Linked DNA regions of Elephas maximus indicus. The main gene of each other region encodes a partner of the protein of the gene in region 2 in a complex. Links are inferred from orthologs where the notes say so. Each region holds a gene or a part of one and is shown on either strand. Other genes may lie near its edges.

Region 1 (8,014 bases), on a different chromosome or scaffold from region 2:
AGGCTGAATTTCCTTCACTACATAGGGACACACATTTCTTCAGCTTAAGGGAAACCTAGGAGAAGGGAGAGTATGTCTTCTACCTGCCCTCAATTTATGTTTTCTCTCTCAAGCAGATGAAAATAAAGTAGATGGGTTAAGTGTCCCAAAAGGCCAAAGTGGGAACTCCAGCCGTGGTCCAGGAGATGGAGGGAACAGAGACCACTGGAAGGAGTCTGATAGGTATGTTCTCTTTCTTGTCATTCGTGAATCTTTCATCCCGTGCTAGATACAAGTGTCTTTGTAATTAAGAAGTTCTTGGTTCTCTAATTAACTGCCAGATCTCTCACTGTGGACAAACTAAAGTCAGCCAATAAAGATAGGTACAATTCTGAGAATCTAGAAATAGTAAAATGTCCAGATAGCAAGGACTGGTGATTGGAGGTATCTGTTCAGTGCCTCAGAGTTGCGGGGTCAGGGGGGTCCTCTCCTAAAGATGGGGTTTTGTGCTTAATCTCTGCAGGAAAGATGGCAAAAAGGATCAAGACTCTAGATCTGCACCTGAGCCAAAGAAACCTGAAGAAAATCCAGCCTCTGTACGTGTTAAAGGCTTCAATTTCTCTCAGGTCACACTTATTCTGAAATGCCACTTTTAAAGGATCTTGATATTTTCACTTTTGCCATTGGACTCCTTAACATTTGGGACTACAAGTAGAGTGGTTGGAAATGAGACTTTGGTGTTTGTTTGAAATAGTACATGAAGCCACATACCTGATTTTAGGCATTTCGTATCTCGGCCACTGGGAGCTGTCAAATGAGGAATTGCTGTTCTTCTAGAGCAGATGGGCTCCTTGATGTCTTTACTCTGACTCCTTCCAAACAGCCATGCCTGTTGCTGTTTCTTTGACCCCTTTTATAGGTCAGAAAACTCTAGAATGAATGGTCTTGGGTGGCGACTGATGGTAGATAAATTGGTTTTCCCCTTTTGTACCTTTGACTGCACTCGCTCCTTCACGGAATGAAGGTAAAAGATGCTGTGTGACTACAGTTATGCCAATGAGCAAGTGGCTGTAATCTGGGCATTCATTCTCCTTTTGCCAAAGTATCTGTGTTCTTTTTCTTGAGTTTTGATGTGGGAGTTCAAGGCCTTTGTTATTTTCACTCTAATCTGTTACAGAAATTCAGTTCTGCAAGCAAGTATGCTGCTCTCTCAGTTGATGGTGAAGATGAAAACGAGGGAGAAGATTACGCCGAATAGACCTCTATGTCCTGTGCTTTCTCCTAGTCTCTCTCCACCCTGGAACATTCAAGAGCAAATCAAACCTCTGTCCAGACACGACAAAATAAAACTCACCATCTCCTGGAGACCTTTCTTAACTTTTTTTTTTTTTTTTAATGAAATTCTTTTGCATGCTGCTGCAGCCTTTAAAGTATTGAACTAACTGGAGAATCACCAATGTCGCCAGAGAGAAAAAGACGCAGCTTCCAGAGGAAAAGCTGTGCATTTTATGACACCATGCAGTTGTCTGTGTGATTAGTGTCTAGAGGCCTCCATTTAGCAGAAGTGGTAATGACAGTGATTCAGTGTCTGGAAGCTGGCTGGGCAGTACCCAAACCCAGTGCCGTGGTAGGGCAGGTATAAGGGAGAGCGCGAGAGTTCTACCTTTTAATTCTTATTATTCTATTGTGGCATATATGAATTCTGAAACATTATCTCAATAAATTGTCCATCCTTGGAAGGTAGGTTAAATAGTCTCTGAGGTTGTTTTAGTCTCTGGGAGGCTGCTAGTCCCTGGGGCCAGCCTAGGGGGAATTCTTCCATTTTTACCCCCCAGGGGGGTAGTAGGGAGTGAGTCTACAGGCCTTTGTGAAAGAATAGGACTGCTTGGTGACCAAAAATATGGGAAAATCAAGAAGCTTTGGCAAGTATTTCTTTTGCACCAGGTAATAGGGAAATGGTATGACCTCCGATAAATACATGAATGGTTTTTTTTCCTGGAGTAGGAAGCACTTAGGTGTTGTGGGAATTCCTGGGTCATATGTGTCCTGGTTTTGCCCTTTCTAAACACTCTTTTCTGAAACTTCAAGTATATCCACGTTCTGTCAGCCTTGAAGCTTATAAAGGTCTAGACTTGTCATTATCTTAGTGTTCCTTACACTGTTCTTTATTGTTACATCCCAGAAAATCAGCTTCTATGTAAGTCACATACCTGATTTTAGGCATTTTGTATCTCAGCCTCTGGAAGCTGTCAGGTGAGGAATCACTGTTTTTCTCAAGCGAATGGGCTCCTTGATGTCTTTATTCTCTCACTCCTTCTCATCAGCCGGGCCTGCTCCTGTTACTTTGACCCCTTTTACAGATCAGAAAACTCAGAATTAATGGTCTTTGGTGGTGAATGAGAGTAGATAAATAGGGACAGTTAAATTGAGAGCCTTAACAACCTTGATTTTTTTTTTTTTTAACACATTTCCTTCTCTCCACTGATAATCCCACACGAGTGTTTTATAATGTGGCCTAGACGTGTGTGTGTGTGTGCGTGTGCATGTATGCCTGCGTGTTTAGCTTCACTTGAGAGAATAAATGACAGAACTGTAACAAGGTCCTGGTTTCTCTTACAACACAGTAGCTTAACTTGCCTGCTTTTATATGCGCCTTTGTACGGGTCACCTTGGTAGATGGTGTCCTTCCAGTGGTACCTGCAGAGAAATGACACCTTGGTCTCTTGTTTGCAAGCCCTTCTGCCATCGGGCCCTAGGTTGGCCACGCAGGGGTGTTGGTTGGTTCGCCGTGGCACTAAGCATAATGAATCATCTACCCAGTGGGCAGGAAAGCTCTACCAAGTAAATTAACTTTAAGTAATGAGCATGGATTGGTCAGAAACTAGGAAATGGGCTTTTAGAGAGAGAGACACAAGGTTGAAATTTTTTATTTTTAAAACCATTTGCTGTAGATAATGAGAAGTAGGGTTTACCCTCTTCATGCCTACTCTCCTTCCAAATAGTTGTGTCCAAAAGAGCTGTTCTTTCCCGTTCCCTTGCTCTGCCCTCCTGTTAAAGCAGAAACTGATTGATTTATGTCCAGCTCCTGAATACATGTAAAATTTGTACAAAAATATCTTCTATGAAAATGATTTGTAATCTGTAGACTTAATACCTGGGAGATGTAAAATCCCCATCCTTTGGGTTGTGGGTTTTTTTGTTTTCTCCAAATAAATCTGATCTTTAAAGTTCATTTTAATGCAGAAATTCTTTGACATATGCTCCCCACTCCCACTGCTTTTTACTGAACTCACATTGACACCCCAGCCTGCTCCATCCCCACCATCTCTAAAGTTCTCCTTCAGCACTAGATCTGTTTTGTGCAAAACCAGAGGGTAGATTTACAAGAGAAATCTATTTTGATGCTTACTGAAGCCCTAAGACAACTCTCACACCAGCTCCCCTCCAGGTTAACCTTTACTGTATCAGCTGAGCTTGCCTGTAGTATACCTTTCAGGCATGAGATGTCCCGAGGGTAAATCTTCACATGCATGGGTCAGTTCCTCTGCAAACGCTTGCCCTTACTTCAGTCCAGAGGTGTTACTTTGCTGGGTTACCCCGCTCTGGTGGGATGAAGTTCTGGGTGACAGGCTGGCCTGGGCTACCACAACTGAGGCCGCTTGAGATCATCCCTCAGACCTAGCAGGAATTTTCCAAACAGAAGAACAGACTGGTCATTGTTGCAAAGTAGAAAAGGAGTTAGGACAGTGGCAGAGAGTCCTTAAGGTCACGAGGGGTGGAGCATAGAAGACCCAGGAAGCTTCAGTCAATTTGGGGGACTTGGAGCCAAGGGATGTGAAGAAGGGGCACACAGTTAAACTGCCTCACAGGGCCAGCTGGAGCAGCTGCTCTTCATGCGCTGATCTTGGTTCTCCAAAGTCAGCAAGTTGAGGGATAAGGCTCAGTGTGCTGTGATGATACAGAAGCCATTCAGTGTGGGTGTAGGTAGGGAGGAAAAGGTGCCCCTGCTCAGGCTGCCTGTGGTGCCTATAAAACAGTGCTTGTTTGCCCAGCTGCGGCACAGGAAGTGGCCTTGGTCACCTTCATTCTCCAAGCCTCCAGTTTAAGTCCCTCCCCTCCTGTGAAATAGTGAGGTCTGGGTAAATAATGATGAAAAGGCAGACAAAAGCAGAAAGGCTGACTTAAAGAGGCTTATGTGGGTTGTGCACAGAAAAGGTACGGAACGAGGCACTCCAGAACTAGGACCACCAGTTGCCGTTGAGTCAATTCATGGCAGCCCGTATGGTTCAGGGTAGAGCTTTGCTCCATGGTTTTGATGGCTGTGATCCTTCTGAAGCAGACCATCAGGCCTTCCGAGGTGCCTCTGGGTGGGTGTAAACCACAAGCCTTTCAGGTAACCATTTGTGCTACCCAGGGACTCCTAAGTTCCAGGAAAAGCTATAGGCTTTGCTGTGCCCCACATCCTCAGTTATATCAGGGTGTGTGGGTCCTCTTAGAAGCCCAGCAGCAGAAATGGATCCCAGGACTGGCCAGCTTGCACTCTCAGTTTACTGTAAATCATGAGCAAACAGGAAGGTGGGTGAAGGGTATATGGGTGCAGCATCTCAGCTGTAGGCTGGGCGAGTTCCCTGTGTATTCCAGTCCCCTAAACAATCCAACGCTAACAACTGTGTTCTGCGTTACAAGGCAATGAGGGTCTGGGTGAGTGCTGAGGGCGTCGCCTCAAGTGCTACTCAGGCTCACAGCATCTGGTTTCTCAGGAAATGGAAGAGCTGCACTGCTGCTCCTGGGAAGCTGTATTTGTCACATATCCTTGTTTCTCAGCAACCACTGTAGCCCCTAGGGCCACAAGTGAAGAAGGGGGAACTTGCCTTTCATCACCCACCCCACTCCTCAAAAAGGAGTTTGGAAGGGTCGGGCTGTGCTGCTCCCCGCCCAGCTGCAGCAACCTCCCGGTTGGACAATACACCCTCTGTCCTCAGGGCCAGGAGATCCGCCTCTGGAGTCAGTTCATCCCCTTCCCCCGCTCTTCCTGGTTTCCAGCGCCTAAATCCTCCACCGAAGTTCCCCTGACCCAGTGCTTTTCCAGCCAGGACACCCCCACACCCTCAATGTCCCTCTTCTGTAGCACCCCTACCACTGCAAGGATCTGAGCACACGCAGTCACAGGCATGGGATCACCCCAGACTATGGAAGAAGGGGTTCAGCCTTTGGTGCCAAGATGGGCTGCCTTCTGCATAGTCAAGGTAAGAAAACCTACATGGAGGGAGGGTCAGAGGGTATCCCTAAAATTGTTTCACCCTCATTAACATTCTCCTGGCTTTCCCTTTCCTCTCCCCCTCCCTTCTGAAGTTCCCACTGTTCTGAGCTGCTAATCAGAGTGCCTGGCTGGGCTTCATTTACCACCCATTTTTATTTCACTCCCACCAAGCCACCTTCTATAAGATTTTTCACTCCCAACCTTCTCATCAGCTTCTTTCCTGCAGCCTCCTTCCCCCAACCCTTAGTCTCCATGTTGAGAGTAGGATTCAAGTTTGAGTTGGGAGTTCAGCTACCTGTCTTGTGGCCCTCCCCCAACTTCTCAGGACCTCAGAAGTTCCTCTTGTGGGCCCATCAGTCAAGGCAGCAATACCGGCATGTGTGAGGTCCTAGCTCTACCCACCTCTCTGGGATCCAATCCTCTTCTCCGAGTCCCAATCTCTCCCTCAATACCCACATGAAATGCATCCTAGTCTCCAGCCAAAGACCCTAATGAACATTGGGAAGGGCAAGATGTTAAGAGCCAGCTGTAGGCTCCAAAGACATAAGGAAATCATATCATCTGTATCTTGCTTATGTAATCAAATCTTGGCAAAATACACAGCATGACCTTCAGTCCTGCCCTTTCCCCAGTAGCCTCCAATCTCTGCCACTCTTCTCTGTCTTAACTCTGCCTCTCGCCTCCTCCCTGTGTCTCTACCCCTTCCCTCCAAGACCCCACCACATCACCACCCCTAGCCCCCAGCCCTTCCTCCAGACCCTGGTGACTCTCACTGATCTAACCTCTGAAACTGCTTACTGGACACCAACTCAGCCAAGAGTGGTAAAATAAAAGCTTCCCAGTCCCAGCCATACCAACCCCACCCCACCCAAAAAAAAACACTGCTGTCAAGTCGATTCTGACTCATAGCGACCCTACAGGACAAAGTAGAACTGTCCCGTAGGGTTTCCAAGGAGTGGCTGGTGGATTCACACTGCTGACTTTTTGGTTAACAGCTGAGCCACTCCACCACCAGGGCTCCATCCCAGCCACACCAGCCCCCGCCAAAGGCTGGTTTCAGAGGGACCCACATTGTCACCATGCTCTGCTTCAGTCTCCTCCCTGCCGCCAACTTGGACTCAGGTGCTCCACCCCCTTCTAATAGGAACCATATTTCCCAGCCTCTGCCAGAGGCAAGATGAGGACAGAAAGAGACCCAGCTGAAAGATGGGACAGGGAGGGAAAGAGGGTCTTAGCGCTGGGGGCACTGGCTGCTTTGAGCAGGCACTGGGCATTGAGCCCTGGGCACTGAATTCTCAGAATCCAGAATCCACCTTCCCCCCTCCCTGAGCCCCCCCTTACCAGTTTTCATCATGGAAATTCTAGTGGGGAGGGTGAGGGAGAGAGGAAGTTTCAGGAAGTGCTCACTGTTAAAGAACGTTAGGGAATCTGGGCATGGCAGTAGGCTCAGAGCTTTTAGGAAGACATCCCCTCTTTCATCCCTCCCCTCCCACTTCCCCTCCAGGGTGGCACAATTCAAACCACCCTCAGCACCCATTTAGCTCCATTTCAGGAAGCTCCTATTCAATACTAGATCCAGAAACTGCAAAAGAAGGGAATGAGGTTAGATTATAGAAGGAACTTTAATCATCATTGGGGAAGCCTGGGACTTGAGTTAAATATAAGCAAGACTTTCTTGAACAGATGTCTCCTAAGGAGTGGGAATGACCATCCAGCTCCGAAGTAGGGCAATGGTTGGGATGACTGGAGCTGCATGTGGGGAGGCACTGGTTGAGCACAATATGGGGTCCTCTGGTGTGAGTCCTTTTGCAGGCATAGGTGACATCAAAGTCTCCCGTGAGGCAGAGGACCAGGAAAGGGTGTCAGGCAACTTGGCACACAAGTAACACCAGGTGTCTTCACCTGATTCTGGCGCCCCGTGGGCAGATGGGCCTGGCCTCACCAGGCCAGGCCGCGGGTGGGTCCCGGCTGGGGCTTTGGGGTCAAGCCCAGTGCCAAACAAGCTCCTGTGAAGGGGGCAGGCTGCGAGAGACCGGGCAGTTCTCGGCACTTTTGATTCTACTCCCTACGGGGCCAATGTCCACCTTTCCTTCGGCGTCTGTCTGGCTCGGGTGTTTCTTTTTGCCTGTGTCCCTCCAGGTCAGCCTCTCCTCGACTGTCTGTTGCCATCTCTGGGTTTCTCCCTGTCTCTGAAATTTTCCTGTCCCTGTGTTCTCCATGCCTTTCTCAAAATCTTTTTCCCGATCTCTTAGTCTCTTCCTGTCAGAGTCTCTCCCTGACTCTTCCTCTGACCGTCTCTGCGTTCCTCTTGCTTCTTGTCTCTTTGTGAGTCTGCGTTCGCGGGAGAAGGTGGAGAGAAGACGGAGAAAGGAGAGAGGCCGAGGGGGCGGGGAGCGGGCGGAACGTGGGGATTGGAGCCGGGGCGAAGGAGGGAGGGAGGAAAGGGGCGAGGGAGAGGGCGGCCGTGGCCGCGGGGAGCGGCGGGGTGGGAGGGAGCCCGGCCGGCCGAGCGCGGCGCGCCCGCTCCCCTCCTCCTGCTGGTCCCGCTCGGCAAGGGCCCCGGCGGGATGGGCTGGCCCGGGGGCAACCCCTGCTGCTGCCCCGCCCCGGTGCGCCCCCGCCCCGCCGGGCGCCCCCCGCAGGTGAGTGGCCGAGCCGCGCTAGGCCGGAGGGCGGTGGCCTCTGCGTCACGGCTGAGCGGGCAGTGCCGGGGGCGGGCGCCAGGGGGCGCGCGGAGTGGGGTGGGCTCCCCATGTTTGGGGGTCCGGGCGGGCC
Region 2 (7,934 bases):
AGCTGGTGATTTGAACTGCCCACCTTTTGGTGAGCAGCTGTAGCACTTAACCACTGCATCACCAGGGCTCCTGCATAGAAGGTGAGAACTCTTATCATTGAACCAACATTGCCTTCAGAACAGTAACTATACAATGTATATGTGTGAATGGATACTAAGCATGTTTTTGTATTCTGAAGGTCTCCAGTGGTTCCATTTTAAAGGGAAAAATACAAATATATATTTACATTTTAACAGAAATGGAACAGACATTCTTTCAAGGATATAAGCCTTTGTACCAACTGTGTGGCCTTCTGATGATAGGCTGAGAATGCTGCTCCATTCTTTATAGTAGATAGAGCACTTGTTAAGGAGACAGGCAGAATGACCATCAAAGGGCAGGGATGTGGTTGGAGCGGAGATCTGACTGAGGAGAGAGCATCTGGACCCAGCATTGAGGAGTCTGGACATAGGCAATCTCACCTGTTTTCCCAGGTGAGCACAAGGTTAGGAGAGAATATTCAGCCGCCATTTGAAAAGCTACAGGAGAAGCCAGACGGAGTGTGGGCTCAAGCCAAATGTGAGGAGGAACATTTTTTGAGTTGACTAAAGATGTAGGAATATTTTCGAGCCATGATATGAGAATGTCAGGGAACACTATGGTAAAGCTTAGCAAATATGACTGGAGTGAGACATACGGTGATGTTAGCTTCAGTTTTCATACAGAATGATTGTACGATACGAGCTAGCCCTCTACTAGATGGGCACCCCAGACCTCTCGATAATGGAACCAGCCTTGCATGACTTGTCATCTTCATGTTTCTGAGAGTAACCTAGCCGTTGTGGACAGGCAGCGAGAGCCATCAGCTTCTAAGGTCATATATATTCAAGTAACTTTCTGCGAATAGAATTTTTTTCTTTTTCTTTTTGCTAAGTATATTCTTTCAAAGCAATTGGAAATTTATCAAAGTTTTTTTTTTTCTTTGTAATCATTTCTGGATTGTAATAATTTTCCGCGAAGCAAAGCAAGGAATATAATAATCCAAGAAACAGGTATAATTGGTTTTGGGAGTTTCAGTAATTTTGCTAACTTGGTTAGTTTAACATCAAACTTACATAATTGTGTTCCTTTGATAAATACTCTCAGATGAATACTAAATGGCTAGAAAAAGTGGTGTGTCAAAACTTTAATACTGTTGATTAGAAAGACTAATAATACATAAGCAGATTATTAACTATAAACAATACAGTTGTATGGTCATTTTTTTCTACCTCTGTGTGTGTGCCTATCAAGATCAACTTACTGGATGAAAGTTCATGTTGAAGCTACTGAAAAATTACTAGAAATGCTGTCAAATGAATTATATTTTTATTGCTTTGACATACATGTGATAACTCCAATAAAATAGAAGCTAAGTGCCATTAAATAGGAATTTGTAGATGATCAATGTTCACAGACAAAGCCCTCCTACATTTGTTTCACCAGCTGTACATGCGTGGACATTTCTAAAGTGCTTTGAAGGCTTTTGTTCTCTCTACATATTAATTACAAATTCATTACTATCATGAAACTAACCCATCATAAAAATATAAAGAATAAGAATAGAAGCCTACTTCACTGAAGAGACTGGAAATGTCAAATGTAGGTACTGAAATTATTGATGAATTTGTGAAAGAGTAAAACATCACTTTCAAAGATTGATCTCACTTTGCAGTCAAAGGATTATTGGACTGCATTGAAGTCATTGAACAATTCTGTTAAAGAAGTCCAGATTCAGATTTCCTGAAAATAATTGAGGAATTACTGGATAGACTCTCATAAACCAAAACCAAACCCGTTGCTGTCAAGTTGGTTCCGACTCTTAGCAACCCTACAGGACAGAGTAGAACGGCCTCGCAGAGCTTCCAAGGAGCACCTGTTGGATTAGAACCACCAGCCTTTCGGTTAGCAGCCGTAGCACTTAACCACCACGCCACCAGGGTTTCCTAGACTATCACAGACAGTGTTTATTGCTTAGATCATGGTACGTGAGAAGACAGTTGATCTTCAAAATAACTCTGAATCTTCCTTACGCCAGTCCCTTCTCTTCCCACAGAGCATGTGACTGCTCCACTAGCAAAATTGTTCTACACGTATACATTCAACTCAGGGGTCAATAGGCGGGTAGTTAGATAGATAAATAGATACTAAAAATATCACAGAAGAGAGCAGGATCACAATGTACAATTATTTAAATGATAAAAATAATAGTACCTAACACTGACCGCCGCGGAAACACCCCTACGTGGTGCAGTTCACATTCTCGGGTGCTCACGGAAAGGCTGGAGGTTTGATTTCACTCAGAGGTGCCTCGGAAGAAAACCCCAGTGATCCATTTTTGAAGAAATCAGTCCTTGAAAAGCCTATGGAGCACAGCTCTGCTTTGATACCCACGGGGTAGCCGTGAGTTGGAATCAGGTTAAGGGCAACTGTTTTTAACCTTGAACGCTGCACTAGTCAGAAAGTCTTAAGGCTTTATGTAACTATCTTCTGTAATTTTGAAAGCAAAAAAAAAAAAAAAACTTAGTTACACAGGCTAAAACTGAAGCTTCTAGAGGTTAAGAAATTTGCACAGAGTCACATGGGATGCTAGCCTGGAGCCAGATGTCTATCTGGATGTTCTGTTTTCAAGTTCTTAACTGCCTCGATAGCATACTTTATTAGCCGATGGGGCTTGGAGTAATAGGCACACCTTTGCTGGAGTAAGGTATTTAGATTTACAAATAAAAGGAGAAGGGGACAGATACTTCGGAGCTCTTTCATGTGCCTGACACTGTGATAAGAATTAAGGAAGTCATCTCATTATTTATCTTTATACTCATATTTGGTAAAGCCTTTATGAGTGTGTAAGTTCTGGGATTTGTCTGGAGTCAAGCAACTGAAAGATGAAAAATAAATGAGTGATTAAAGATTGAGGAAGTAATCCTTCTCAGCGTAGAATAAAACATGGCATCTTCCTTGATTAGAGAAAAGAAACTGACTAATAAAGAGTATCTGGATATCTAAAAAAGGTATTTTATAACTGTATGTGAACAGGGTTTTGATGTTTCCTCAGACCAGGATAAACAGAAACAAAGCTAAGTTGTGTAAGTGGAGAAAGGTTATACTATTCATCAGGAGAACCTAGCTAAACAGCATCAGCAGGCGACTGATATTGATTGAGTTCCTACTATACACCAGGACTAGAGGCAAAAAAAAAAAAACCCGTTACCCTCGAGTAGAGTCCAACTCATAGCAACCCTATAGGACAGTGTCGAACTGCCCCATAGAGTTTCCAGGGAGCACCTTGTGGATTCAAACTGCTGTGCTTTCGTTAGCAGCCAAGCTCTTAACCACTATGCAACCGGGGCTCCAGAGACAAATATAGAGATACATAAATTATTTTAGGAAGAAGTTCCATCAATTCTCATTCCACGCCACTCTAGTATTTTTCTTAGGAAAACAAGTACAAACATGTAAATATATGTGGATATGAATTTAATTGTCTCTAATCTGTGAGTTATGTAGAATTGTCCCTATGGTTAAAGAAGAATCTGAAACTCAGAAAGTTTAAGACGTCTTCCCAACTTCACACAACAATTAAGCCAGAAGCCAAGAGAGGCAGAACTGTTACAGGGGGAAAAGAAGCACAAAACGTAGAAGACCTGAGTTGCAATCTGACCTTGGCCACATTCCATCATTTGTCCGTAAGAAAATTACTTCTACAAATTTATAATTCTTTATCTGTAAAATGGGAATGCGTGCAAAGATTAAATGGGCATGGTGTTGGAGGAAGTACTTTGAATATGAACATAAATAATCCTTCAAAGAATTTATGAAAGAATGTACTTCCTTCTTGGCATACATTTGAAAGTTAAAGGGACTCTAAACAGCCATTTTTCTGATCAGTGATGTTATGGTCTAAGCTTTGAGAAACTGCTTCTGCCGTCATGTTTTTATTTGAATACTTCTCACCTTCAAATTCATGTGCCATATAAATCATTATTATTATTTGCCATTTAACATATCTGTAAAGTTGTCCGTGCCCTGCACTGATTTTGGGAGAATTTAATTATTCATTAAGAAGGGAGGTAGTAGCTATAAGGCCATACTTCTTTAAGTTATCACCTACCCAACATTCTCAGGGTGTACTGAGGAGATGGCTCAGTCCTATTCAGATATCTGCCAACATTTACAGAAATTAGAGCCAACTGGGAATAAAAGTGAACATGAAAGCTACTTAAATTTCAAAGAAGTGCAGGAAAGATCTTAGGGCCAATAGGTTTAATGTTTCTTGTCTGTCTTTGAGTGTTACCCATTTATCATACTTGAGCTGGAATTGTCCTTGTCCCTCCTATTATTGAAAATCCCTAGGAATTTAGGGACAGACCCAATAATTGGATTGGTGATCACCAATCCCTGAAAAAAATGTTTCAGCCATACATAACAGTAGACTGTTGATTGTAAATAAAGTAGAAGGGGAAAATTACAGAGCAATTTAAACTCAGCAAGATAATTAAACTCAGAGACACTGTTCTCCGCTTCTCCGGTCTAAACAAAGAAGTCCCCCCACTGACCTCTCTACAAACTGGATGTCCCAAGGCCATGTCCCTCTGCTCTCCTTCCACTTTGCCTAAGGAGTACGCTGGGTCATAAGGGAATGAGAATGGTTGTGACTTCTTCCCTGAAACGGCTCACGCTTCCTCTGCTTTTGTATTTGTGACATTTTATTACAAGAGGAGCTAACATCTATTATTAATTGATGCACTAATTAAAGCCATACTTGCAGTTTCCATTAGCTTATTCCCTAAATTCTCCGGAGTTGGCTGTCTGGTTTTAATCAAAACCAAATGGTAGTCCAAGTTCCCAGCGTGGAGCAGCTAGGAGGAAGTCATTCAGTGGAGGCACGAGAAAGCAGAAAAGATAAACAGATGATGTTCACAAAAATCGTGTCGGGCATAGGGTGTTGGTACCGTGAGCTGCTTTAGAGACGTGATTCAGAGACTCTGTCGTGTTAGGTGGAAGCAGTCGCAAAGTATTTAATGTCAGCAGGATTCTAATATGATCAAGATGGAGTCTGTCTCCTGCCTTTCCAGCCCTGGATTTGTGTAAGTCTGGAGGATTCTGACTAGAGGTAAAGCTGCTTATGCCACAACCCACAACCACTTTGATTCGTGACAGCGATTTGGGATTGGAGAGATCTTGAAGAAAACGTTGGATTTACTGGGTTCTTGGAATTGTAGATTTTCTCAGGTGCTATCTGTAGAGCAGCAGCACTTTGAAGTTTTAAGGAGTGGGAAAAGGGTTTTAAAATTTAGAAGAATTACGGTATTAAAACTCTACATTCATCTTGCTCTCTTAAAAGATCTTTTGAAAGGAGCACTGGCAAAGGTATTTTGGCTAAGCTGTGTATATGCATTGAATGTAGTGGAAAGGTTGTAGCTGGGGAAGAGAACTGTGTTTTCTTTCTTTCTTTTTTTCTTTCATCAGCAACGTGGGCTAGAAAAAGCTCTAAGACTTTATGACTCTCCAGCTAATCACCTCAAGAGCTTTGACAAACTCACTTCAGTTCTGTGTAAAATCAGAATTCCTAAAACGCCCAGCCGGGCTCTGCTCTCTCTCGCTCCCCTCCCCAACTGCAGTCTTTCTCACATACACACTACTCAGAGGCAGGAAATACTTTCCAGGCAATCTGGGCCTGGTTGTGGAGGCCCCTTTCGCAAAACATCAGTCTGAATTGAGTAGACAGAAGTCACCAGGAACGCCTTGACAGAATCCTGCTTTAGCTAAGGCTCCCTCCAGCTGCGGAGGGTGTTTTGGTTAGAATCACACACTGCGTAAAACTGCTTAGAATAGAGCCATGATCTCAACCACGAAATGTGAACTTGTATTCTGGAGAAACTAACGGGACGGACTTCTTTCATAGCCCGAGTGTTGAACAGTGTCTTGCCTGGGCGTCTCAGCTTCTCGTTGTCTAGGTAAGAAGGTCTGCTGGGCTCTGTCTTTATACTTGGAGGTAATCGTTGGAGAGGTGGAAAGACTGAGATAAATGTTAGCACCTTGGACCCGAGGGGTGTCTTCCTAGGTTTTTGAGTTAAGCCATGAAATCAGAAGTGAAAAATGTTTACTAAGTAGAAAACTGTGAGTCAAATAGTTTTAGCAAAATGTCATTTCTAAAACAGCCTCCATATAGATTTTACTCTTTTCCTCCATAAAGTAAGATTTTATTTTGATCCCTTTTTATTCTTAACTTATTTATTAATTGAGCTATAAGAGCAGTTTTTCGAACACATGAGATAAAATGTAACGCATATATGTTCTAACACGTAGGGATGAGATGTGAATAGATTCCATTTTTTTTTTTTTAAACCGTCTTTTGCCCACAGGGAGAGTAGATATTAGTAGGGTAACTGCTTTAATAATGAATCTCCTAAGACAGCTGATTTGTGTCGCATTTACGATTATGACTATTGGGTTCCTCAATATCTCTGCATATCAGTTTCAACTACAGGTCAAGCTGTTTGTGTAGAGCTTAAAAAAAAAAAGTAACAAATGCATGAAATTTCAGAACTTATTTCTGCCCTAACTAGTATTTCATCTGAGTTTCAGAAATTGAAATATCACACTTATTATTTAATTTATATATTTCCTTTTCTGAATTCACTGATCAGGTTGTATTTTCTGTGGATGTTTTTGAAAGATGAAAGTAAACCTTAATGACAATGCCGTTCATTATTACTGTTTTAGGACAGCCGGAAATCTCCACAATCATATGAAAGATGGATCAAGCATCCATGCTTCATATAACCATAAAACTACATGTCTAAAGGACTATGGTGCCACCACATCTACCTTAAAGGGTTAAATATGCAAGATATGAGGAAAGAAACTTTATATTACTGAAATAGCATGGACTACCAATGCATAGCATATTGTTACATTTATACCTTCAAATATTTAGAATAAACACCATTATTTTCTGGACATAACATGGAATGGTGTAAAAGGGAGCAAAGATTCAGGCACATTACCGAGTCAGTTAGAGTAACTCATCTGTTAGTACACTGAATGAAAGTTGGAGAGCTACTTTGACAGCTGGGTCATAAAAAAATCAAATGTTTTAATGATGAGCTTTTACATAGTACAGGGTGGCCATTTACTGGATAAGTTAATTTATTCTTAAAATCTATGCTAGAATAACATATTGATATGTTTTAACCGTTCACTAACAATTTGTCATGTTGAAACTTTCAATCCATGAGAAAAAGGATCGATGTATCTATAAATGTTAAATATATGTATATACTGACTTATCTACAGTGTAGCTTAATAAAATCCTTGAAGAGAATTTCGGGGAAGGAGAGAACGTAAGAGATCATCTTTTCCAACAGTGCCCTCAGGCTTCTGACAAGGGGACTGAGGAATGGCATTCTTAAGTGACCTGTCCAAGATCATACCACTCGCTAGTGAAGAGAGGACAGTGAAACACAGTCCCCCAATTCATGGTCCAGACATCTCTACAGCACAGCGTGTTGCTCTCAGATAATGTGCAAAATGAAGTATGAGCGTGTCCAGGAGAAAAGGCTACTTCGCAGACAGAAATTGGAGTGCCTCTTAAAAACAAAAAAAAAAGGTTTAAAGCTGCCACTAGTGTTACTTACGTGGGAAACAAAAAAATCAAGGTTTCAAAAAAAAAGCAAGTTTACTAAGTAATACAGTTTTCTCAAATGCACAAGTTTTCTTAAAAATATTTACTGTGGCTTTAGCCAGCACTGTAAATGAATAACTTGTTTTGTGATCGTTCTGTCACATCTCATGTTCGTGCCAGGAAAATCGCTCCATGTGCTAATAATTATATTAATTTTAAACTGGTGTTTCTTAGAAACACAGGGCTAGACGAGAGTTTGACTAATTCATATCCTTGTATTCAAATGGT

The links. The genes of interacting proteins can lie anywhere in the genome.
Region 1: the proteins of DLC1 (region 2) and TNS2 are in contact, whole or in part, in an NMR structure (PDB 2LOZ), measured with the Homo sapiens proteins. The link is inferred for Elephas maximus indicus from reciprocal best matches to the Homo sapiens genes DLC1 and TNS2. Residues at the interface, in NP_001335010.1 of Homo sapiens: Glu811, Asp812, His813, Lys814, Pro815, Gly816, Thr817, Phe818, Pro819, Ala821, Leu822, Thr823, Asn824; in NP_736610.2 of Homo sapiens: Asp1268, Leu1269, Leu1270, Arg1271, Gln1272, Gly1273, Ala1274, Ala1275, Cys1276, Lys1317, Ser1319, Ala1320, Gln1321, Thr1324, Leu1387, Asp1388, Pro1389, Asp1390, Gln1391, Val1403, Leu1404, Leu1405, Gly1406.

Annotation. Positions count from the first base shown.
Region 1 is NC_064822.1:108,563,233-108,571,246, forward strand, and holds the start of TNS2 (tensin-2), read left to right. Parts: upstream 1-5,012; 5' UTR 5,013-5,150; coding exon 5,151-5,225; intron 5,226-7,707; exon of another isoform or gene 7,708-7,806; coding exon of another isoform or gene 7,807-7,881; intron 7,882-8,014. Other genes in the region: EIF4B (eukaryotic translation initiation factor 4B), read left to right, coding at 114-222, 503-575, 1,157-1,237. UniProt on the Homo sapiens protein: Tyrosine-protein phosphatase which regulates cell motility, proliferation and muscle-response to insulin. Phosphatase activity is mediated by binding to phosphatidylinositol-3,4,5-triphosphate (PtdIns(3,4,5)P3) via the SH2 domain.
Region 2 is NC_064840.1:73,077,913-73,085,846, reverse strand, and holds the start of DLC1 (rho GTPase-activating protein 7), read left to right. Parts: upstream 1-4,926; 5' UTR 4,927-5,132; intron 5,133-5,573; exon of another isoform or gene 5,574-5,976; intron 5,977-7,934. UniProt on the Homo sapiens protein: Functions as a GTPase-activating protein for the small GTPases RHOA, RHOB, RHOC and CDC42, terminating their downstream signaling.